Linked DNA regions of Struthio camelus. The protein of the gene in region 1 binds, or shares a complex with, the protein of each later gene. Links are inferred from orthologs where the notes say so. Each region holds a gene or a part of one and is shown on either strand. Other genes may lie near its edges.

The links.
Region 2: the proteins of LRP6 (region 1) and SOST are in contact, whole or in part, in a crystal structure (PDB 6L6R), measured with the Homo sapiens proteins. The link is inferred for Struthio camelus from reciprocal best matches to the Homo sapiens genes LRP6 and SOST. Residues at the interface, in NP_001401174.1 of Homo sapiens: Arg28, Asp52, Val70, Ser71, Glu73, Leu95, Ser96, Asp98, Glu115, Arg141, Trp157, Trp183, Asn185, Ala201, His226, Phe228, Trp242, Met269, Arg336, His361, Asp379, His404, Asp406, Thr422, Glu447, Arg449, Trp465, Trp491, Asn493, His534; in NP_079513.1 of Homo sapiens: Leu115, Pro116, Asn117, Ala118, Ile119, Gly120, Arg121, Arg169, Thr171, Arg172, His174, Asn175, Gln176, Ser177.

Annotation. Positions count from the first base shown.
Region 1 is NC_090942.1:81,180,494-81,193,421, forward strand, and holds the start of LRP6 (low-density lipoprotein receptor-related protein 6), read right to left. Parts: upstream 5,371-12,928; 5' UTR 5,125-5,370; coding exon 5,070-5,124; intron 1-5,069. UniProt on the Homo sapiens protein: Component of the Wnt-Fzd-LRP5-LRP6 complex that triggers beta-catenin signaling through inducing aggregation of receptor-ligand complexes into ribosome-sized signalosomes.
Region 2 is NC_090966.1:8,177,019-8,188,931, forward strand, and holds the start of SOST (sclerostin), read right to left. Parts: upstream 4,711-11,913; 5' UTR 2,449-4,710; coding exon 2,226-2,448; intron 1-2,225. UniProt on the Homo sapiens protein: Negative regulator of bone growth that acts through inhibition of Wnt signaling and bone formation.

The DNA.
Region 1 (12,928 bases):
CTGTAACTCTGGTCAAACTACACAAGTGAGGCATAGGTTGTATAAATAAAGGTTGCTATTAGAGGAGAGTGAGTTCCTTTCGGCTAACAAAGACGGTCACTGCAACTACCCTCTAGTAGGGCCTTCACTACAAAGTGTTCAACTCAGAAGAATTGTAAGTAGTCACTGCATGCTCATCCCACGCATCATGTCCACACACACCAGCGATCGTACTCCAAGAGCCATAGCCTTTCAATGGCTGAACTGTAAGTGAACAATGCCAATTGCTTTAAATGAATATGAACAAACAACATTCTTGAAGTTTGGAAAACAGCTACACCCCCCCCATGTCTTTCTAAGCAATTTATGTTATTCACCAGTAAAAGTCTATTTGGGAAATTACTTACCAACATAAATTATTCTTCACCAGTAACTATTGCTTTCAAAATACAAACGGCCCTTCATGTGTCATCAAAGAAGTGGCAGCAAAGAATACAGCCAGCCTCCAGTAGTTTAGGAACCAAGTCTCTCTCTGGTGAGCCAGCTGAAGAGCAAGGGCTTCCCAGGAGGAGCGAGGAGCACTCCCAGGTACAGTGGTAGGACTCAGCAGCTGGCTTAGCTGCAAGCAGCAGTGTACAAGAAAGCTTTAGAAACATTTCTGGTGCCTTTCAACAATGACACATACCCTCCCTGTACTACAGGGAAGTGGACTCTTGATGAAGCCACCAGCAAAGCAACCTAAGTAGCTAGCATTTCCCAGGAAATTAATGAGGTCAAATATGCCTAGCGTTTAAGTCTGAAGATTGGCTGCCAGAGGAGATGAACAGTGACATCAGAAGATGAGAGCTGTTTCTCCCCGTTTTCTTCCCCTACCCTACTCCCTCAGAAGAAAAAAATATATATATATATATATTTGTACTCTACTTGATTTCAAACTAAAAAGTAAATCCCATATTGTATGCAGTACAGCAGATATTTTGAAACCAGCATTTTTGAGATGTGACATCATAAAGGTAGATTACAGATGTCCAAAGGAATCAGATTTCTCCAGGCCCCAAAGACAGACAATTTAAAAGGCTCCTATGCCCTAGCTCCTGACCTGTCTTCCTGCAAAAACCCTCTTGTTTACTCATCCTAAAAATTCCAGCCAAATCCCCATGTTATCTGTAACTCAGAGAATGCAGATGGTAATCAGTTCACAAGGGAAAAATGTGTAATCATACAAAAAGGGTGTATGATTAACACCCCTTTAAGCAGTATTTCTGTAAAACATCATGAATATAAGAAGCTTTTCGGCTGAATAACTTTAGAAAACTCCTAATGAAGGATACAAGGAGCCCACCATTTTCGTACACCTGTGATTAGGTATCTGCAGCTTCATCCATATACCCGCAGCTTCCTCATATCTTCAGCATACCTTTCCATAAAGGCTACTTCACCTCACATCCCAGACATACCAAACACACTACCAAGCTTTCTGACATTCCTAATTTTTGGGGGGGAAAAAAAATATATATATTGCTGAAGCAGTCTGATGACAGTGAAATATATCAGAGGCACAATTGCAAAAACTATTAAGGTAATGGTGGAGTTTTTAAAACACCTTAGATCACGCTAATTTTAGATAATTCTATGGAGAGACAAAAGAGTAAAACGAATTAGAAATTACAGTAGACAAAAGTCACACTGATTTCTAAGGAATCATACACTGAAAAAATATGAATAGAATATGGTTGATTCAAGCTTGGGTGGAGAAATACACCATGATGACTACAAAAAGGATATTTCCAGGTCTCATTGTCAATACATTAGTTTTGTATAGTCACAGGTCAAGAGACCCTTAACTTAAAAATGTAGCTCCAGCTCGAATTCTTCCATGCTTCATCTCCAACTTGACTGCTTCAGAAGTAAAAAGCGTATTCCTTGTCCCCTTCTCTGACTTCTGGCAGAAAAACACATGCAAACACCTCCAATCACTTACAGCTTAGCAAGTCTTGAACATTAAGCTCTTCTAAGCCACATACAAACCACTCTTTATCTAAAAAGATACAAAAAGCAAAGATGTTCTGTTTATCGAAAGGAAGTTACTATAAACAACAAATTAAAGCAAATTCTCTTCTGAGCACATAAGGGGGAAGTAAGAGCGTTTAAAATGCCCATTACCAAATGGGCATTTTCATTTCTTCACTAACTGACCTTATGCATCGAGATCTGCAACATTCAGTACATTTGCACAAACATCATTTATAAGATTCCTATTCAAACAACAGCTTTATGCACTCTTTGCATGCTCAGCATTTAAAAGCAAAACAAAACAGTAACCGCATGCTGACTGGAAAGTTCTTTCTGGAAGAAAGGTAAGCCATGAATGCTTGATATTAAAAAGAGTGAAATCTCAGTTTCCCCACTTACAAAGTTTTAGAACTGATCCGATGCTACAGCTTTTGCCTCTTTGCAGTTGTCAATTACCTAACAAGATCCTGACTGGATTCACAGCTGCAATGAAGAGCACAGCAAACTTGCCACGAAGCAGGTCAAGCTCAGTCCTCCAAGCCTTGCTTGGAGCTGCTCCCTGAACACTGCTCACGTTCAGAGAGGAGGAAAGCTCAATCCCCAACATCAGACCAGGAGCCAAGAGAGGAGTAAGAGGAGTAGAGATGTCAGACTGTGATGATGGTCTGGCAGTTTCAGAGAAGTGACCCCTTTCTTCCATCAAAGAGAATATGAAAGAAATTACAAAGCCTCCATAGCAGGCTGTAGTGATGTTAACCTCCTGGCCCTTACAAATCAAAATATCTGCCCTGAAAACAGCTACAGAATCTGGCTCATCACAGTCCTTGGACTACTTTGGTAGAGAGGTGTCTTGTACTGTGCACCTGTCTCTAGCTAGCAACTGCCTGGTACTTCTCCAAAGCTATAAGCTCACAGGACACTGCACTTCCAGGTTATCAATTTCAATCCTTTCCACACTGGTAAACGTATCTATCATCATTTCCTTTCCCTAGCGATCGTAGCTATCGTAAACCTCTGCCCATTTGCTTTTTCTAAGTCAGCGGCAAAAGGGAGGCTACTTCTCTAAGCGGAGAGGATTCTGCAATCCACAAATACATGCTATTAGATTTTCTGGGTTTCAGTCTCCAATACTTTGGCTTGGCACCTTTCACAGCACTAAATTTACAAACCAAACAGTGACCTTCAGAACTGCTACTTTCATGTATATACTTATTCATACTCACGCTGGCACTGCCTCTGCCTCATTAAGGAACTGCTGACACCTCTTATGAGCCAAACATATCTTATTCAAACCAATTCTACTTGCAGAGATGTTGTTTGTTAGGGAGGATGCATGCATTAAAATTTGATTTCTGTTTCTTCTGAGTTCAGCTGTTCCTGCTGTTTATATCTACCTAAGGTAACAACTAGCCAGTAGGAAAATTAATATCTTGTTACAAATAGAAGATGGAGACTTCAGGTAGGTGATCAAGCAGCAGGAGCACATGAACTCTGAAGAAACAAAGACACAATTTTGATACAAAAGTCCTTGGCAATCGACAAAGATGAGAGAAGGGGGAAAAAAAGAGACAGTCCAAACAGTTTACTGTGTTTTTTCAAAGTTCCTTATTAAGCATCATCAAGTAAATGAACATTCGCAAAAGGACATGTAATTATTTGGATATTAATTTGAAGAAGTGACAATAAGTGATTACTATTGTGTGACATTACGTATGACAGTGATTTTTTTGAGCTGTCATTCAAACTAGGTTAAACAGCAAGTTAGAGCCAGATAAATGTTTCATTAAGAACAGGTACGGCCGTTACATAACAAAATGAACCAATTGGAAAACAGTTCTTCTCTATGCTTCATATCCAACTGAACTTTTTGAAAATTGGATTTCACTGCTGCAAGAGGACCACAAAATGTTACATAGCCTATTTAAATAAATATACTTGTATCTTTGCAAACAGGATACAATATGGCAAACAGATGCACAGAAAAAAAAGGTAGGAGGAAGAAGAAATTTTTCCTTTTCTAGAGTACTAAGTAACTGGCTACCAAGCATCTCCTTCAACCCAAACCACCTTCACTCCAGCTTTCAAAACAAAATGATGGTGGCAATAGACTAATTTTCTAAATCAAAGTGTGGCTGATTTCTTTAAATATCAGCAATTAATCTTCTCTCCCATGTAGTATGAAAAAAATACAAACAAATAACAAAACGATGGATGCAAACATCACAGCTGCTTTCTCCCCAGGAAAAGCAAACACAGAGAAATGGATGTTGCCGTGAAGTATATGTGAAGTCATGTTGAGAGATGGGAAGGGGTATAAAAATTATATCAAGTATTTTAAGTGATATCCGTTTGTAGCGCACTGGAATGCTTATTTAAGGCTATATTAGCATTCATCACAACCCACCACAGAAACACAAACTTCTCTCAAGTCCCAAAACAGCCCCAGCAGAGCGGAGAGGAGCATTACTCCTCCTGCCAACTGCATACTGCACTTACTTCGGGTGTGTGGAAAATGTCAGTGAAATACTAGTTTTAACAGACTTTCGCCTTCTCTCGCTGAGTGTGTAGGGCTCCCCACTTCTCCTCCCGCGGGGGAGGGGGGGGGGGGAGAAAAAAAAAAGAAAAATAGAAAACGCTTTCTTTCGCGGATAGGGGGGAGGAGAGGAGAGGAACGTGATGACTGTAATAGCAATACTGGCGTGACGTTTTGGTGGTCGCCTCACCGGGGCTGCTCCGCTGTCCATCCGCAGCGGACAGACAGGCGAGGCGCGACCAGCTCGGGGTGCGGTGGGGTGGGGGGGCAAACTTAAACAAAAAAACCCACCAACAACAATAACCACCACCACTACCGTGCGCTGCCTGCCGAGCGCCCAGAGGGCTGCCCGCGAGGTGACCGCGGCGGGGGCACGGCAGGGCCGGGCAGGGCAGGCCGGGGGGGCGGCGGGGCGGGGAGCCCGACCCGACCCGGCCACCGGGGCCTTCCCTGACTGGATTCACACAACATGGCCCCTCGCAACAACCCCGTCAACTTTTCCTGCCCGCCCCTTCCCCCCCCCCCCCCCCGCTGCCCCGCTCACCTCTCATCAGGGAACAAAAACTGCAGGCGAGTAGGCTGCGCAGGACGGCCCCCATCTTCCCTCGCTCCCCTCTCACCGGCGGCGGCGGCGGGGAGGCGGCGGCGGCGGAGCAGGGGGAGGAGAGGAGCAGCCCCGCCGCTGCCAGTTCATACTTTCGGGCAGGCGGCGGGGAGGAGGAGGAGGAGAAGGAGGAGGAGGAGAAGGTGGAAAAGGAGAGGAGCAGAGAAGGGCAACCGCGCAAATCGCCCTTCGCCGCCGCCTAGCAGGCCGCCTCCCCCGCCGCGCCGCCACGGCAGCGGCCGCTTCCCTCCACGCCGGCCCGGCCCGGCCCGGCCCGGCCCGGCCGCCGCCGCCTCACTGCCAACGCCGCCGCCGCCGCTCCCCCATGCAGCCCCGCCGCTCGCCCCGGCCCGGCCCGGCCCCGCCCCCGCCCGCCGCGCACAGGCGCAGGGATACCGGCCTCCCCCACGCCGCCCAACGGCCGCCCCACGGCCGCCCCGCCCCCGCTCGCGCGCCTCCCCCGGCGCTGCCCCCGGCCGCCGCTGCGCAGTCCCCCCGCACTATTTCCTTTCCCTCCGCCGCTGCTTTTTGCCTTTTTCTTCTTTTTTTTTTTTTTTTTTTTGGGGGGGGGCGGGGGGGAGGAAGGTGCGATACGGCGCTCGGAACAACATCAGCCCTGGGAGGGACGGGACTACTTTCAGGCGCGGAGCGGCGGCAGGACAAAGGGTCCCTCCGCGGCCCTGCGGCTCCTCCTCCGCCTCCAGGTGAAGGCGGGCATCGCCGGGCTGGCCGGCCCAGAGCCCCGGCCGCGTCCTCCGAGGTCGGGCCGCGGGCCCGCTGCGGCGCCTGCCGGGTGAGGTTGTGGAGCCGGGCCTGCGCGCTGCCCCTGGGCAGCGAGCCGGGCCGGGCCGGGCCGGGCCGTACCTGGCCGCTCCCCCGGCCCAAATGGCGACGCAGCCCCCGCGGCGGCGCTGTCGGCCTGCGCGGTGCCCGGCCGCGTCCCTGAGCTTCCCGCCGGCCTGCTCGTGCTCGGCTTCGGGAGGCAGGGGCACCCGGCACCGGGCCGAGCCGCTTCATAGTACAGTAGCAGGCGGAGAAAGGGAAGAAGAAGGAAAAAAAAAAAGACCAAGCGCTCCTGGCGAAATGCAGTTACAATGCATGCCCCCTTGTGTGGGGACTGATAACCTTGATCTGGCCCAGGGCAGCGCTGAGATGCATTCCTTTATCAATAGGACCTTGCTGCTTGATTGATGTCGTGGCATGTGATTTATTTCGCGGCACTTTTAGGGGGATTCTGGTTTCCCCCCCCCTCCCCTTACTAAACTAAATGGCACAAACTACTACTCTGAGCAGTAGTTAGAAACAGCAAATGAATGCCAAAGAGTAGCTAATGTGCCGTGCTTAGGCATAACTTGCTCTTTTCACAAGCTATATCCGCTTAAACAGCCTTTTTCCTGGAAAAAAAGTTTGTGATCTTCTAACATGCCCTTGCTTTAAAACGCTTCCCTCCTTACCTAGTCTGTTCTTTTTTCCTAAGCACTACAAAATCCAACTTTCTTGTGTTTTCTCCAGTTTACAAACTCTACATGAGGACTTCTACAGGGACTGTTGATGTACGTGCCACTTTCTCTCTCACAGAATACGAGAGCTGTTCACTAGCGGAAAGCTATGAAGCAGAACAACTTGAAGCAAAATTTGAAATCCTTACATTCGAAAGCCTGTATTATTTTAGAGTTATTAGAAACTTATGGAAACATTTAACTTTTAATTTCATATCTGTTGAACATACTTTTTCATAGCTTTTCTTATGATTACAGTAGGAGATAACATCTGGGTCACATTAAAGGTCTGGGCACTGCAGATTGACTCTAGCATCAGGCTGTAGCTCCTGGAGTCGTGATAATACCAGACTCTGAACTTTTACTGGAAAAGAATAACAGTTAAAACCATCTACAAAAAGAAATACATTTCCAGCCTTCAAGGTTGCAAAAAAGATCTTGAAACTGTAAACAATGCAACTCAAGAGCAATACCTGCCTGAGGCCAGGTCTGCCTTACAAAATGTTGTCCTTGACTCTGCTGGGTGAAGTATCCTCCTGCGTTACGACAATGTCAGCTGGGAGCATGAGCAAACTCCAACGAGAGCTGCATAGATGGTTGAGGGTAAAGGCTTCCCACACAAAAATGTACCCAGACAGTAGATAACCCTCATCTTACCCTTGTCACAACTAGATGTTGCAGAAACAGGCAGAGGGAGTACAGTGTTCTGCTTGCTCTGTTTAATTGGAATCAGATAAAAAAAGAGGGTTGGGTGATTTTTTTTAGCTTACGCTATACAGTCATAACGTTCCTCATGCAACATATTTCTCTACATGCTATTCCCACTAGCATCTTATCTATTTTTGCTGGAAGCACTCTGGTGTCTTGACTATCTCCCTTGGGAGCCTGATTCCCCGCCTGTTTGCTGTCACTGCTAAAGACATCTTCCCTGCTGTCCAAGCTGACTGGTTTTATTTTTAGTGTTCATATGCTCCCACCCCTCCCATATATGCATTTCACCATTTTGCTGTAATTCAAGCCCTTTCCTTTCCTGATAGTCATTTAATGATAGTCCATTCTTCTAAGTTATTTAATGATTTTTGGCTTCCCCTACCTCAGCCTATCCCCTATTTCCCACAGCCTTTGTAGGGTCAAATCCTTCTACCTCTACTCAAGTGTAGGTAGCCTTTTTTGAACCCGTTTTCCCATCTATATTTAGGATTCAAGATCAAGCCGATATACTACAGTTTGTCAGCTTTACTTGTAATTCATTCATAGAATAAACTCCATTGCAGAGGTTTTTACAAAGTAAAATAGGAGGCAAGATTACCTGCTTCAGAAAGGCCCCTGACAGATAAGATTTCTCAAATATTTATTATGTTCCATTATTTGAGCTTGAAATCAGAATAAAGCAAGTGGGAGTGGAGAGGGATTGTCTGTTTTATTTTAGAAAGAGTCTCCTCTTGTTGATTACTATTATTTTTGTTTCTCTTAAAAACAGAAATCACCATTTGCCTGTTCAAATTCAGTCAGAGGCTTCAACAGCTAGGAAATCTGCACAGGTGTCCTTTACCTCAAGACTTAGCTACTAAAGCCTTTGAATCACCATCTAAGTAATCTGCTACACAGGCATACCCTTACCTCCAGCCTCAGAGAGTGATTCAATGATACAAGAGCTTTTGCAGGGGTGTTTTATACTCAGATTAGTTCCTTGGCCAGGTTCCTAGTGCAGCCTGACAAGCAGTTGTGTCAGCACACAGGACAGCAAGGAGTAGCAGATGGAGCTCCTTCAACCAGCAGCGACTGCCCAAGTCACCACATCTTTGAGCTATGCCCCGAGTTCCAGTGAAGGCAATGGGACTTTGTAGGACCAGGACTGAAGTCCCTAATGAGCAAAAGCTGTTGGTAGAAGATGGCTACTCAGCAAACGAATTTGGGCTGACCACATCACAGAAACCACTATCATAATTAGCTCCCTCACTGAATGTCTCGATGAGAATTAATGGGCCATGGCATGGTGAAATCCTGGTTCCCCTGAAGTCCATGGCAAAACTCTCACCAACTTCAAAAGGGCCAAGATTTCATACTGAAACTCAAGCTCAAGTCCTCTCTTGCCCCCAGTAGGAAAGTCTGGAGCACTATATTTTAGGGAATGGGACATGGCACAGTGATGACTTCACCAGTGATTTCTGCGTTACAACCGTTTAGCAGATAAATGGGAGACCCTAACTTCCAGCATCATTACCATGCCACTTTGCCTAGGTCGTACAGTTGCAATTTATAAACAAAAATCCTTCATCCAACACTTCCCCCAAAGGAGGTCAGCTCTAAGTAACTTAAGCATCATTTAATGCTAAAGGTGCTTGACAAGGATTATCCTGCTCCAAGAGTGCAATGGGCTCACCAGTGTCCTCCCTTTAAGGAACAGATTATCAGTTTATTTACTCCTTATTGAAGTTCAATCATAAGCAGAGGCATTTTGTCCCCCACTTTTACTGTCATACTATATGAAACATACTTTTTCAACAGGAGATAGGCAGCTTACCAACATGTTTCCTTGGCCTAATAGTCATTGCTGTATTCCAGAAGTTTTCTCCAGGCCCTGAGACCTCATTTGTCTTTGCAGTTATTTGCAGGGGTTCTCCAGAGCCTGTCAGTGCACAGCAAACACTATCACTCCCACTACTTCTGTGGTAATTTTCCCGTCAAATATCCTATGAAGTCCCCTTGTACCACATATAGTTGCCTCCTCTCCTTGTTCTTCATTACTATCTTATTTTTCCCCTGTGTAAGTATAATATCCATTCTTTTTTTCTCATCTTCTCTACCAGAAGATGTTGCCTGGTGCTCAGGGTGAGAACTGTGCATTTCTTAAAATGGCTAAAAAATTCCTTACAACAAAAACTTCACAGAGGAGAAGCTGCTTGAGCCTAGCAGACTGTACAGGCAAGCTATTCCAACAGGAGTCCGGTGATATCCCCAAAGGGAAATGGGAAATAGATGACCTCAAAGGCTTGAGCATTTTCTTTACACCTTTGGGGGAATTTTTGGACTGATGCTGATGGTGAATCCAAGGCCAGGCCATTTACCTTCTACTTCTTTTCTCCTCTTCCATCTCCTAGTGAGTTGAAAACAGCACTGCCTCTTAGCTGTAGCATTTTCAGTGTGAACTGTGCAGGATTCTGATTTTAATTTGGCACTGCCCACCAGACCACAGGGCAAACCCAATACTTGCCTTATGAATATTTAGCCATGGCTACATTTCAAAGCTGAATTATAAAAATGTCATTTGAGAAAGTTACAGTTCCAAAATTTGTAAAGTACTTTAATGCTGGGCTGATGCAGCTAAAATATCCTTTTAAAAGAGATCGCATTTCAGGCTGACAGGAACCAAAACACTTTTTTGTTTTAGTTTGCTAAAATTTTCAAAAATGAGCAGCATCTGGGCTCTATTAACCATAACGTGCGTGCATTTTAAGCAACAACAATTTAAAAATACTTCCTTTTCATAACCTTTTCATGGAGTTCAGCATTTTGCAATGCACTTCCATAATATTTACCAGTTCTGATTTGCACTCTAGCCTTTGAAGCTTAAAAATTAGTTACTGGTGAAGCATCGTGTATCTCTTCACACTATTTTAGTCACGGGGACTATTGACTAGAATTTATGCCTTTGGTGCAGAAAGGTAAGTCCCTGTGTCACAGTAATTAACAATCACATAGCATCTTTCATACAGCACTCTTCAAACTTTATATAACATACATATTGCAATACATGGGAAAGAGCTCATTTGCAACTTGAAATGGCCACTTCTGGGCTAATGTGCAATACTATAGCAGTGCCTGGGGAGCATTGCATTTTAGACAGGATCATCCCTCTCCAGAAAACTCTGGGGAGAAGATACAAAATTAAGCCTGCAATTCAGCCAAGACACTAAGCATCTCAAGAAAATCGCTATGGATCATCAAGTGTGATAAGTCTTCGGGGCCTTGTTTTTCTTACCTGTTAGATAAGTTCTCACAATATGCTAGAAAAGCATGATAAGTTATTAGTGCACTTCTTTTTCAGAGGAGAGAAGAGTGCCCTCTAATGGTTAACCTTTAGGCTTAATAGTCAAGAAGCCTTCCTCTGCTTAAGGGACTGGTAAAATAAGGTCACAAAAATGCAAGATGTTGGACCAGTTCATATTTCAAGGAAAACCAAAATCTTTTTTAACACTTTTAATTTCTTCATAGATAGCAAATTAAAAGTAAGAATGGAGATACGTTCTTAGTAAGGTTTTCGTTATATTAACATTGCCAGGGATTTGCCAGTGAAAATTTGACATCTTTGACTATTCAGAACTATTTACCTGTACTCTGTTCTATAGGTTTTATGTTTTACGGTGGGAAGCATGTCTCAAGCCCTGGAAGAGCAACATATAGGACGCATATATGTCCCCAGTTTAATTCAGAATCATAAAAATGCTTAAAATAAGATACCGCTTCAAGTTTACTCCTGCAGGAACAAACTCTGAGGAGAAAATCCCTACTTTTTGGTTTTTGAGCTTTTTAAAATCTTAAAACCAACTGCTCAAAATACTGATATTAGAAGTTTTAATCAGTCCTGCCTACTTTTCAGTGGGGTGTAACTAATGAAATCCCAAGATAATCGACAGTGGCAGATTCTACAGTCTACCCTTTTTTACAAAAAGGCTTTGGCTTTGCCTATAATTTTACTATAGTTCATTGATTTCTGATTTATTGGAACCATTCCGAGCTGTGCTTTGGTGCCACAGCGCTTGGAGGGGAAACGCAGTGCCATATTTTCTGCTCTGCCCTGCTACCAGCTGGCAGCAGCACTAGTGCCCGATGTACTGTAACCACCTGTGCCTCCACAAAAGATGTTGAGATGCAGGCACAGGGCAGCAAAAAGCCCCATGCAAATTCACCCTTGGCACTGGCTAAAATATCGCCCATTGACTTCATTGCCTCTAGTAGCAGGAGTGAGTGTAGGCCCTCAGGCTTGCCCTGGCTGTATGTATAATGGTTTCCACGGCTTATGTCCTCTGACTCATTCTTTGTGTGCTGAGAGGGTGGGAGAGGCTGTTATCCATGGCTGAAGTCTCGTTTGCTGTTTTTCCATCTCTGTTAGTTCTTTGAATAATTTCCTTACAGTGTGGACTTTGATAGAGTCTTCAAGTGCAGCTGGCAATTAAATGTAGGTAGGTGACAAAGGCAAACACATAGAAAGATGTCCCCCTGAATATATTTCTTACAATAGTTATGCCTGCTGTAAAGATATTATTAAAGAGCCATCATATTAAGTTTAGTAATAAACAGATTCTGTTTTCTCCTCCCAAGAAAAGAAGTGATTAGAAGGAGGGTATCCAATGGTTTTCTCTTCCTTCCTTCTTCCCCCACCTTCCCAACCAAACCCACAAAGATAGTACTTGGTCACATGCATCTTTGCGTAAAAGCCAGTGAGTTGTGTCTGAATAGCCATGTCTTCTAAAGCCCCTTCCAATGCCTTTTTCGGTGTCAGGGCTTTGCAGTTAATGCAACTTTTACTAATTTTTTCCTTACTACAGTTGTGAAAACGCTAATACCTTTAGAATGATCTGAAAAGAGCTTATGCAGAACAAAATCCCCATTTAATCTTAGCATATTAAGAGATCTTTTCTATGAACAATACATATAAAATGCTAATTTCACCAAACACTTTTTTTAATAAGTAAAGCTTCAAGAGGAGAAAGAAATGCCAGTTCAGAGTCCTATATTCATTTGTGGTTTAGGAATCTTGGCACTTTAACTGGAGGAATTATTAATGAAGATACGTGCTTGCTATGGTACATTGTGGCAGTAGTCAGTCGTGAATGCTGTATATCAAAAGGCATCCTGGTTGCAATGTTAGAAGAAAACACACTGGGAGCCGAAGACCCAAACCACTTAAGGACAGGAGGAAAAAAAGTTCAAAGAGCATTCATATATACCAATTTTTCAGTTGTTGCTCCTGCTTTCTCTACTGCCCCTCGTTCTGCACTAACTACAGCTTTATTTACAATATGGCAGGGTTTGGGCAGTTGGTGCTTGCTCTTCCTTTACATATTTGGTTTACTCCCCTGAGTGATTGCAGTGTACAAGTAGAATTGCTATTGGTCTCATTCTGTGCCCCAGTAGCTCCCTCAGTTTCCACGTGGAAAGTTTATAGTATTCAGTTATGCATCTGTCAGTCCTTTTTATTGATTTGTCCATTAGAAATGTGCCATGATTTATACTTAAGTGAATACAAAACATTTGAGACTCACACCTACAGTGTAGCTGCAGCCTTTGTCATGGCTC
Region 2 (11,913 bases), on another chromosome or scaffold:
TTGCTTATCAGCATGCTTGGAAGACATAAAGACTGATTTTTTTTTTTTTTTTAAGGCGTTTATCAATGAACTTCATCTAGGTAACTGCATGCTAGTGCTCTTCTCTTAATCAAAAGGATAACTCAGGTTAACTTGTGATGGAAATCATCAGAGGTCAACTTACAAAGAGAATGCTGTGTCTGTTAGCCCCATTACCTTTGCTGTGTACAAAATGTTTCCCTCCTTCGTACACCAAAAGAGAATTCTGACCCTGAGTCATTAGCGATAGAACTATATTTATACATACTTTTTCATTTTTTAATTTGTTCTTTTCCGTGAAGTGTGGAACCATGATTTTTAGTGGTTGGATTTATATGTATCTAAATACAGCTTTCAGGACTTCATGTTTTAAAAGTTTTATGGACTGCATTAGCCAAATCTGTTGAGCTTTGTCACAAAGCTGTGATGAAAATGCTGGCAACTGAACTCCACGTAGGCTTAGTCTGATCCTCCTGAATTACCTAAGCGTTAGGAAAATTACTTCTTTCTAGGTAGAAAATAACAGTCTGAATCAGATGTTCTGGACCATTGCAGTACATAGGCAGATATGGGTGGCTATATGGCCCTTTGCCTCAGCCATATAGATTTTTTTTCTGCACACACATGTCCTGTCCTGTATGTGTACAGGTTCCACATACTGCAAAATTATTTCATGGTCTTGGGCAACTTCATGTGTCCCAGGAAGGTCTGGCAGCTTTTGGACTATAGTTTTGATTCCTTGTGTTAAAGATGTTAAAATAAGTATATGAGACCATTGCATATCTTGAATGACTATCCAATCCCCTTTTCTCTCGCTCACTTTCTTAAATAAACGTCCTTTCCACCTCAAAAAAAATAGGCACGTTTCAGTGGGCCAGATTCCGTTCCCCACTGCAAATGATGCCAAAGTAGATAGAGGCTAGAAAACCAAGGTATTCAGACGTAGCTACAAAATCAGCCCATTTTGATCTGGTGGTTGCTGGCGATGCCTGTGAGAAGCAGAGAGCTCACTCCTACATATTTAAGACCCTTATGATATGGTACGCTTAAAAAACATGACTTCTTTTTTTTTGTTTTGTTTTGTTTCTTTTAACAAAGAAAAAAATACTATTCTTTCTTTCTCTATTCTTTTAAAATACTGCTAATGCTGTGGCTTTCAACCCCTAACTGACAGCTGCAGCAGCAGGACACAATTCCCTTCCAGTTGTCCACAGAAGAAGAAGTGTAGCTCAGATGTGAAATGCCCAATAGTGGAAACCAAGTTTGACTTGTTGCTATGTGTGTTTGGCAACCAAACACAGCAGTCTGAAAGAATGAAGTTTGGCTTATTTGCCAGCAGAAGTCCTCCTTTCAAACTGCTGGTGCTAGCTCCTCACTTCCTGTCTCTCCTCACAAAGTTGTTTTGCGTCATTGTTGATGTCAGACATTTGGCTAAATACAGTGATATCGCATTAGGAAGTACGTCAGTTGTGTCAAAGTAGTCAAACCGCTCCCAGGATTGCACAGCTCTGCAGGATAGTGAGAGTCCCCGCCAATTCATTTGGGCATAAATTCCCCTTGGGAGTGCGTTAACTTGCGCATAACAGCTTTTTTCTGGCTACTGGCATCTGGCTGAAGCTCCGGCTACTGTTGGCAAAGGACAGTGAGCAGCACGCTTCTCTGGTCTAGCTCAGTGTAAACTCCATGTGACCTTTTCATTGTGTGATCTTAAAGACATCACTAGTATGACTCTTCCTAAATAGTTAAGAAACCTTACTGGCTCTATTACCAAGCCATTGCCCCATCCTAATTTCAAAGAGAGAAAGAAGACCCATGCTGTTTCGCACAATGCTTGCAAGCGTGTTACACAGGGAAATTTAAACCGCTGATGACTGCTGCTTGTATTGTACGTTTAAAAGTCAAGTTTTTCCACAGGTTTTACGTCCTGGAGTTGTGTCTGCACATAGCTCCTGGGCAGGACGGGAATGCATATTGTAGTACCTAAGGATTGTTTAATAGATAAGCCATACCTTTCTTTTATCAGTTAACCCTGACATAGCCCTCCTGATGTTTGCATTGCTACTTCTTCAACAGTGGATGTAATTCCCTATCACTTACAGCATTAGGTCCATACCAAAAGGTTTTAATAAATACCCATAGATGATACTAAATGTCCTCTCATAAACTGTCTGTTAGCATCTAAAACAGTAATACAACATTTTTCTTACCATTAGGGTCTGGAGACTGTTGTATCTGTCTTCCCCCATGCTTTGCCTGGTTCATTGTATTGTTGTTGTCACTGTAAGTCTGCTCCATCGGTGCTTCTGTATTTTCAGTGATCTCGGGAATGATTTCTGTAGCATCATTTTTAAACATTTGCCACCCTTCCACCGATCGAAATGCAATTTGGATTAAGACACAAACAGAGCACATAGCCCAAGAGATCTGCATGGTGGCAGCCCCCAGATTAGCTTTGCAGCACCCTCACAGCCTCAGATCCCAGGCAAAGGCAAATTATTGTCCTTTTTTAAATCTTTTTTAGAACCAAGCCAGCCAATGACTATACAAAGTGGGAAGGGCCAAACAACAACTCATTCATCTAAGCTTTTGTCAGTATGGGTCAGAAATTAAATGGGTGTGTGGGGGTGGTTTAGCAAAAAATACTCTGTGTGCTTAAAAGCTTCTCATATACTTCATTTTTCTGCCTGGTAACAATGGTGGGTGATTGACAAGACTAGGATGAGCTGTAGCCTGACAAGTCTTTTCTGCAAATTTTTCTAACAGTGTTATAATTAAGCTCTGCTTTGATCTCCATATTTGAAACTCTGGTTATTGTCTTTTTCAAGGGGTTTCAGACTCATTATTGGGAACTTTTTTTCTGTGGGGTGTGGGGTTTCTTTTTTTTTTGGTGCCTTTTTTTCCCCAAGTATAAAGTAAGCACAATTAGAAACTGTAGCTCAGTAGTGATGCATTTCAGTCCCTGCAGATAAATGATTGAGGTTTTATAATTTTTGTTTTCTTTACAAAACAAGGATCTCTGCATTTTGTTTCTCAAATGGACTAGAAGAAACAGGGAAGAGCTCTTCTTTTCAAAATGAGAATTTGTTTTACTTAGTTTTCCTTAAAAATATAGGTTATTTGGAGCATGTTAGTAAAGCTATACAGCCAGATTGTTGCACACCGTGCTTTCTGATGTGCTCTTTTGCACTTTTTTTTTTTGCATTTGCATTTGCATTTGCTTTAATATCATTGCATACCACTATTTCTGCTGACATTTTGTACAGCAGATTGTGTGTGTTGATTTTTAGGACATTTGCTTACTTTAAACACAGAACAGGGCCAGACTGATTTGTAATCATGGTACAACCAATTAGAAAAGAGCTGATCTAATACCTAGGACATCTATGCCCAAGATGTGTTCATGTGTCATGTTTTAAAATCTCATCTATGGCATTCTTCTTTTCCCTTGCAGAAATAAAGTGATAGCGGGGACAGTGGCATGCAAGTTCTGTGCCTCAAGACCATAGATATTTCCACATTATTTACAAATGATGTCAGGTTAAATACATTAATCAAAAAGTATCTCACCTTTTAAGTTAGATTAGAAACTACAGTGAGCTCTCATCATAACTACTGAAAACAAAATGTTTGCATAAAGCAGTAAAGCACCTCTGTGCATAGCTGCAATGTTTGTCACACACAGTTCATCCCTGTGAAAATATTTCGTGTAGAACAGATGTTAAGTGAATCACTTAACCAGCATTTTTTTAACAATTAGCTGGAATGTCAATAACAGCCTCTGTGCTCTGCCTTCTGGTCTACCTGTCTGAACACTGCAAACAGCTGGGGCCGTCTGTCTTCTCCCTGCTCCCTAGGACTGATCACCTAAGGCTTGCATTCCAGTCTGACAGTTGCCCTGACCTGGCACGGAAAACAGGTGTCACCAAATTTAAAGTGAGGGGCACATTCACCCTTGGTGTGACCCAGATGAAAAAATAATACATTCAAACAATAGCAATGATGACTTGAGGACGGTTCACCTCTTCTGCCTTCCACACACACACACAGCGACGCACAGCAGATGCAATAGCGGCACTGAGTTAGATGAGCTGTAGCCTACTTATTTTGTATAATGGTCCGTTCCTAAAACAATAGCATCTGAAATATACTGTGACATGCTCTCTCTCCTGCCCTTTCTTCTCCAAAATTACAGATTAACACGTTTTGGCGGGGCCTTTCTTTCCAAATAGTCCCAAGAAGCTCTAAGAGCAATTGTGCGTTGTGTTGCATACAACTGTTTGCACTGTTTCCCTCTCCCTGTCTCCCCCCAGCCTGCATCCTCCTCATCCTACCACCACAGGAGTTACTCTCTTTCCTAGAGAGGAATACAGTACACTGTTGTCTTCATACATGAAACTTTTTTGTGCAGAGTCTGTCAGGATGTCGTTCTTTAATAACGAATGTTGCCACATCATTTGCCGGAGATGTGCTGTTTCCTTTCTTCCTATAAACAGCAGCAACAGGGCTGATTATCTTTCATTAATAACTTCCTCTTACGCTCCAAAGCAATTAATGCTGGTCTACGCTCCAAAGCAATTAATGCTGGTCTGACAAATATAGGAAGCCCAAATACTTAGCCCTTGCAAAGGTTTCTCCAAGCACAATTTTTTTCACTTACGACTAAATCTATTTTCCATTCAAGGTATTGCCCACCAAATAAAAAGGATTCTGAAGAAAGGACAGATGCCTGCTTCGAAAGCTGTGGATTCATCTTCCTTGGAGGATTCTTTTTGTAAAAACAGGTTAGATGATCATGATCAAATTATATTTGAAATTGTGTATGAAGATCTCTTAAGCTCTGCTTTCAGCCCTTATAATATAGCTATTATTCTTTTATTCAGAAAAGAATCCTGGGGTGCATTAGGAAGAGTGTTGCCAGCAGGTGGAGGGAGGTGATCCTGCCCCTCTACTCAGCCCTGGTGAGGCTTCACCTGGAGTCCTGTGTCCAGTTCTGGGCTCCCCAGTACAAGAGAGGCACGGCACTACTGGAGAGAGTCCAGCGGAGGCCTACAAAGAGGATGAGGGGACTGGAGCATCTCTCCTCTGAAGAAAGGCGGAGAGAGCTGGGCCTGTTCAGTCTGGAGAAGAGAAGACTGAGAGGCGATCTCCTCAATGTGTACAAGTATCTGGCGGGGCGGGGGGGTGGTCGAGAGAATGGGGGCCAGCCTCTTCTCCGTGGTGCCCAGCAACAGGACAAGAGGCAACGGGCAGAAACTGAACCACAGGAAGTTCCATCTGACCCTGAGGACAAACTTCTTGACTGTGAGGGTGCCTGAGCACTGGCACAGGTTGCCCAGAGAGGTAGTGGAGTCTCCTTCCCTGGAGATACTCAAAACCCGTCTGGACGTGATCCTGGGAAATATGCTCTAGAGGACCCTGCTTGAGCAGGGAGGTTGGACTAGAGGATCTCCAGAGGTCCCTTCCAACCTCAACCATTCTGTGATTCTGTGAAACTGTAACGTGAAGCTCTAATGGCCCACAAGAAAAATAGTGGGGTTTTTTTCCTTCAGTTTTATCTGAAAAAGTGGGGAAGGGTGACCAGGCACTAAAAGCAAGGATCTTAACTCAGTATTCTTTTTGTCAGGGCAAGAATACCAGTAGCATAGTGACCTTTTCCAAAGTAACCTGTGTTTGAAGAGCTGATAGGTCACAGCTCATGGCAGAATGGGAGTGCAGATGAAAAGCAGAACAGGAGACTAGAACAAAGTTGAGTACTGGTAATCTCTGAGGAACCGTCACCTATTCGCTCCTCTGTTTAAATGTCTTCAGAATTGTGTCTCTCTACTTAACGAAGCTCTGTTTCTGTTAATTTCTTTTCACATAACGTCTGCATAGAGAGTATTTCGAGGTTCATGATATCATTGTCAGCGTTAGGCCTACTACAAAGAATCACACTTACAGCAATTATTTTCAGATGAAGCATAAACGATTTCTTCCATGCAGTTTCACCCTAAGTATTTAAACAATCCCCTCTTTTACCGGTCTTAACACTTACCTGTATCGATGACTGGGAGAAATCATGGAAAAAATCTAGAAAAGCCAAAATTGGAAGCTATATTTAGCCTCTGGCTTAAAACCTCCTGTGCACAATTTAGGAGGGCAGCATTAGTAGGGGCAAGAAAAGCAGCCAAATCCTGTTAGGCATTCAGTTTCCTTAACTATAAAAACACTTTCACTTCCTGTAGTTGGTTGCCTATTCACTCTATTTTCTGCAAAAAGGAAAGCAGAAGTGGTCTGGGCTGCAGCCCCCATGAACAATTCATTCTACATTGTTAATGAAGCACAGGAAAAAACAAAAATCATTTTTGATTTTATAACATCGAGGACACTTTCATAACGACCCTCCTTCTTCCCCCCCACCCCGGGTGGAACCGAGTTTGAGACCACTATCCGCAGAACTGGGATACTATTATACTATTTTCTGAGCTGAAAGAACACCATTAGTCTAGCTAAGAAAGCATCAGATGTATTGGTGGGAGCGGGTACAACTAGTAAACTGGCATCCTATACTTAGCCTGAAGCCTTTACTGCTGCTGTCTGGACTCAGACTTGTGTCCTACTGAGCTTAAATTGCAACACTGTACTATGAAGGCAAACGCATAGAAAACAATTTCTAAAATCAGTTCTGCCAAATGTAATCTCTGGTGCTAAACGTACCCCCGCAATAGCTGGGGCCGGGGTTGTTGTGTTAGATATCCAAGCACTAAGATACACGTGCACAGTTTATAAACTTTTCTGTGAATTAGGCTTTAATTTGCACACTGCCCAGGAATTCCGTTTTTGACAAGCTCAAGAGCTTCCCTGCTTCTCAAACAGTTCTCTTCCCGAGATGCTGCTGAGCCAGCCTTGCCTGAGTAACTTTTATCTTTCTCACGAGAATTCTGCTGAGCCATGTGTGGCCGCCTGAATATATCAGGCTGAATGCTATGTTGTGAACTCCTCTAAGAAGCCAAGAAGAAACGGAAGCTTAGTTTTCTCCCACCGGAGATGAGCAAACGCATTGATAAACCGTTGTGGTGAATAACCTTTTTTGATACTAACAAGAGAATACATTAGAGTCATACAGTAGCATCACCCAGAGATGGAATTATGACTATCTAGTGAAGAATAGTAAGCATACAGCTCCATCTGGTGGGAGTCAGCTAGCCGGCTCCCTTGAGATACTGGAATTAAAATACAAAGCCTTAATTCAGCTGCACGCAACCTGAGTTTGTAGGGTTTATGTCCAAAATAAACCAAGGAAGAGGTTATCTAAAGGGTAAGAACTGGAGTCAGTCATTGCCCATTCAAAAATTATAAGCAGACATTCTTGATTTACTCACAGAATAGAGCTGCATTTAAATTCAAGACAGACCTATCCCATTACTTGCTGTATTTGACAAAGACTCTATCATTTTTCTAGTGTGGTACTTTCTGTAGGACATACTGTCTCCCTAAGGGAGTTGCTCGGCTACCAGTTTTAATTTTTGGTTTTGCAATTGCACAAGATTTTAGCCATACCTCTTGTATTGTCTTACTGCTGTGTAACAGATATCTAAGCTGATGAATGATTAATAATGGTGAGAGTTGATTTAGCTAAAATTAGTGTTGAAGAAGTTGTTTCTAAAATAGTGGGTGAAATTAACAACTCCATGATCAGCTTGGTTCAGGAGCCTATCTATCTGCAGAATATAAACCAAAATGTAGCACTGTGCACATCAATCCAAATCCACTGATTACTAGAAGAATGATCTGAGATGGCGGCAAAATATATGCAAGGTCCAAAGCTACGAGATGGCACAAATAACAACAGTCAGCAACAGCAGCTTTCCACAAGAAACGTACATAACCTTACTGTGAAAAAAGTAGAGTAACATATATGTATGATTAACATACAGTAGCATTTAACTGTTTGTAAACTGGTTGACAAAAGCAAGAGTTAATTCTTCAGCGTAACAGTCAAAGCCCAATCTATAGTAACTTCAGTCATTGATCTCACTATCGACATACAATAAATTTGCCATATGCTTAGTCAGATTATTTGTACTTGAGAATGTACCAAGCCTGTATGAGTGATATTGACTTGGTACATCTGAATTTTTGAAATAAAGCAGTACCAGGAGAAAAAAGGGGCTAAATCGGCTATTTACTACCACGCTAACCTTCCTACTAAGAATTATTTTTTTGTTGATGCATATATATTTTTCCAGTTTAGTCTCTACCAGAGAGAGTGCTTTACAATCAAAAGTAGACTTAACAGCTCCACGTATATAAGAAGTATACATCAGAAAAAGAAGAGGGGTTGTGAAAAGCCTGTGGAACTATTAACTGACTGTGAATGATAAGAAAAAAATTCTGTAGACAGTTAGTACAGACTGTTTTTATCTCCAGGGCCAAATAATTTGATTATTATATAATTTATGGATTTTAATTATATTTTCAGTAGGGCATTACAGACTTCTAACTCCCAAGTTTCCGTAGAAAATTACCCCAAACAAAATCAAAGGCCTGGTTCACAATTGCTCATCTGGATTCAGAGTTGCAATGACATACACAGCATGAGTTAGCTAGCATAGCATAAGGATATGAATTCTCAATAACAAACCCTTGGAAGCTACCTCTGAGGTCTGTTCTGTTTTCAGTTTATTCATTGATAGAGCCCAGACAGTAATTTTAGAAGAAACCTCTCTGCTATACTAATGAGACTACATTGGATAGTCCGTCTATGCTAAGACTCTTCTAGTAAACTAGCAAAACTGATTTAATAAAGAAGGGAAAAAAAATCCTGCTTCCAATTCAAGTGTAAGAGATTGAACTATTTCTGGTCAAGAGACAACATCTCATTGAACATATTTAAATGATGAAAGTAAACATTGCAAATATCACATCTACTGCCATGGTTCTTTTTTTTTTTTCTTTTTCCCCTCGGCATGAGGAACATATACCTGACATAAGCTTGTCTTTCAAGTCAAAGAGCGTGTAGTGTTATTATATACCGTGCTTTTCATCTGCAAAGCCTTTTATGAAGTTTAATTAATTCTCACAAGACCAAGAGAGAGAAGTGAACTCATGTTGCAGGAGAAAAACATGTCCAATACTGACACGTGCTCAACATCCCCAAATGGAATTACAGTATGGTTTATACTGGCTGCTAGCCTTGCATTCATATGCTGTTAGTCTAATTTTGAAATAGCTTTGCAAAATGCTCACTTGTCAGCAGTGCTCTATTGCAACATCCTTCTGTGAAGTATTTTCTGGCGGTACCTTTGGTTCAGAGTAGCATGCTAGATACAACACTGTTGTTGTCAACAGTGTAGTCTTAGCTGCATGGCAAAAGGATGAGGACAGAAAGCGCTCCGAAAATGTCATTTTTGCTTTGAATCTTAATTTTAAGATAGAAACTCCTCCTCTGTGCTTATATAACGGGTGAGATTTGGTTCAGCATGAGATAACAAGGTCAATTTATTTGTACATATATGATCATTTTAGAGGAATTATTATCTAACCAGACTTTCATCTTTGCTCCGTGTTACAAAATGCTAGTAGTTCCTTCCCCACATCTTCCCTCCCCCCCCCCCCCCCCCGGGATTTGACAGGCTGGATATCCTTGTTCTGTGACAGATGCATATTCTACAGAGATCCCATCCCTTCTCCAAAGCTCTTGTCTACACAAAAACTACCATGCTGCTATTCAGGATAAACATATTCATATAAATCCAGACTACCCTATTTTAGCTATCATCAAAAGATTTTTAAACACCAAAAATGTTATGTTTCTGCTTGCTTATTTGTTTTTTAAAATACCTTCTCCAGCTAGCATGCTTGTAAGGAACACCTTATCTCAACAGGCAGCTACATGGTAACTTCATAAACAAAAAGGCATACTTCTTCTGATATTCTGTCAATGTCACATTATAATGGTAGAAAGGTCTCATTCCTCTTTCTACACAATCTTGCCTTCCACAGTCAGAAAGAGACACACAGATGCACATGGCATATGATTATGGATTAGAGGAATATAAGCTCTTCTTGGTCCACTAAGATAGGCAGAAGAATTTGCAGCGTTCTAGTACTTAAACAGAAAGATAAAAGAGCAGTGTACAATCCATTAATGGAGCAGTGGTGTGACAGCCTAACTATTTTTAGCCTGTTCTAAAGGCAAAGTTAGAAATGGTTGAGAGTCACCTATCAGTAACTCAGACTAGGATATGCTGTCTCAGAGCTCAGTTTAATTAATTTATGAGCGTCTTTCTTAGTCTTCTCCCCCGCATATTACAACACGTTTGTTAATTAAGTTTTGTTGTATTGAGATAAATTGGCCAGAGTATCCCTGAAGTTACCACTAGAATGGAGCAGTGTCCTATGAATCAAAAAAAAAAAAAAAAAAAACACCTGGAACACATGAACCTTTTCTTGTATTTCTTGATTTATCTCTATTTTTAGACAGTTGTCGACCTGTAGAACTGTACAAAAGCATCACCATTTTAACGCATTTTATCACATTCTAACAAAACATTTGCTTTTTAATCTGACAGCTACTAGCATTTTTATACTCTTTGGGATAGTAAAAAAAAATCTAATACCAAATAGTTTGTTTAGTCGTTTATTGGACTGGAATTTTTGAGTTCTAAGTAACAAATCAAAGCCAAAGTGCATGCATGTGCACCTCTGTTTGTTTGTTTTTCCTGTAGCGTGGATAGGTGTTATGAATACACAGTGCAGGCAGAGAGAGGAAAAAAAAAAATCTGGGCCCACAGTAAACATTTTAAAAGTGTGATTTATAAATAAGACTGCTGAATGAAAAAGGCAGTATTGTAGAAAAGATAAGGCCAGCATTCCTATTCCCCACACGGCATAACATGAAAAAAGTAACCAGGAATTTTGAAAACAGCAATTAAATTCGATAAAATGGGAGACACTGAACAATTGCAATTGCAATTATCCTAAGGAACTCTCTACTGCTAGGTATTACTGAACCATTCTGCTTCAGAACAAGCACTAAATATTGACTGACTGTAGGGAGGTGAAAGGAAACACTTGCTATGCAGTGTTCCCCAGTTGTTCCTTTAAAGGCCACAGAAGACAAAGTACTACTTGTTGGTAATTCCCATCCTGTGCAAGGAAACTGAAATAAGCCCCATCTTCAACCAAAATAATCATCTCCGGAGTTTAATTTCAAGAAAGCTATCCGATTAAATGGAAAAAAGGCAAACCAACTAGAAGTAAAACAATCTATGTCCTTTGTGATTTTTGATAAGTGAATTGAATGTACAAAACTGTGGAACTATGGTTATATGCATTACTAATACAAGAGTGTTTCTTGTTAAATAGTGCTAGATTTTAAATCTGTACCTACATTAAAGCACATATAAAAACTGAGCATAAACATCTCAGGGTTCTATTAGTTTAACCAACAACTCTTGAGTTCTTTGTGGGAGACCCTTTGTATTAGCACAGTGCTATGCTAACTCACTCACATATTTACCCACTAGGTCAGGCATACCCTAAACAAAGCTTCCTCTCCCAACATTGCAATGACTCATTTCATCTGCCATGTCAGACAGAGCCATGACTTCATTTATTTTATTAGAAAGGAAATGTTTGCTAGTCCATGTGATACTTAGCAATTCTCACTTCTATGTAATGGAACCATGCAAGCAATCCAACAAGACAGAGTGTACTTCTACAAACTGCTTTGCAAGCACCTGTGCACTGCCCTCCTGAAAGTAATCTACGTATGTGCTGGTTCAGTTCAAGCTTTCAAGTTTAATAAACAGTGAGGGTCAAGGGAGACACTATAATCCAATACAAACCTCAGGAGCCGTTCTATTCTGTCACTTAGGACTTTACCTTACATCTCGTACAGGCATTACTTGA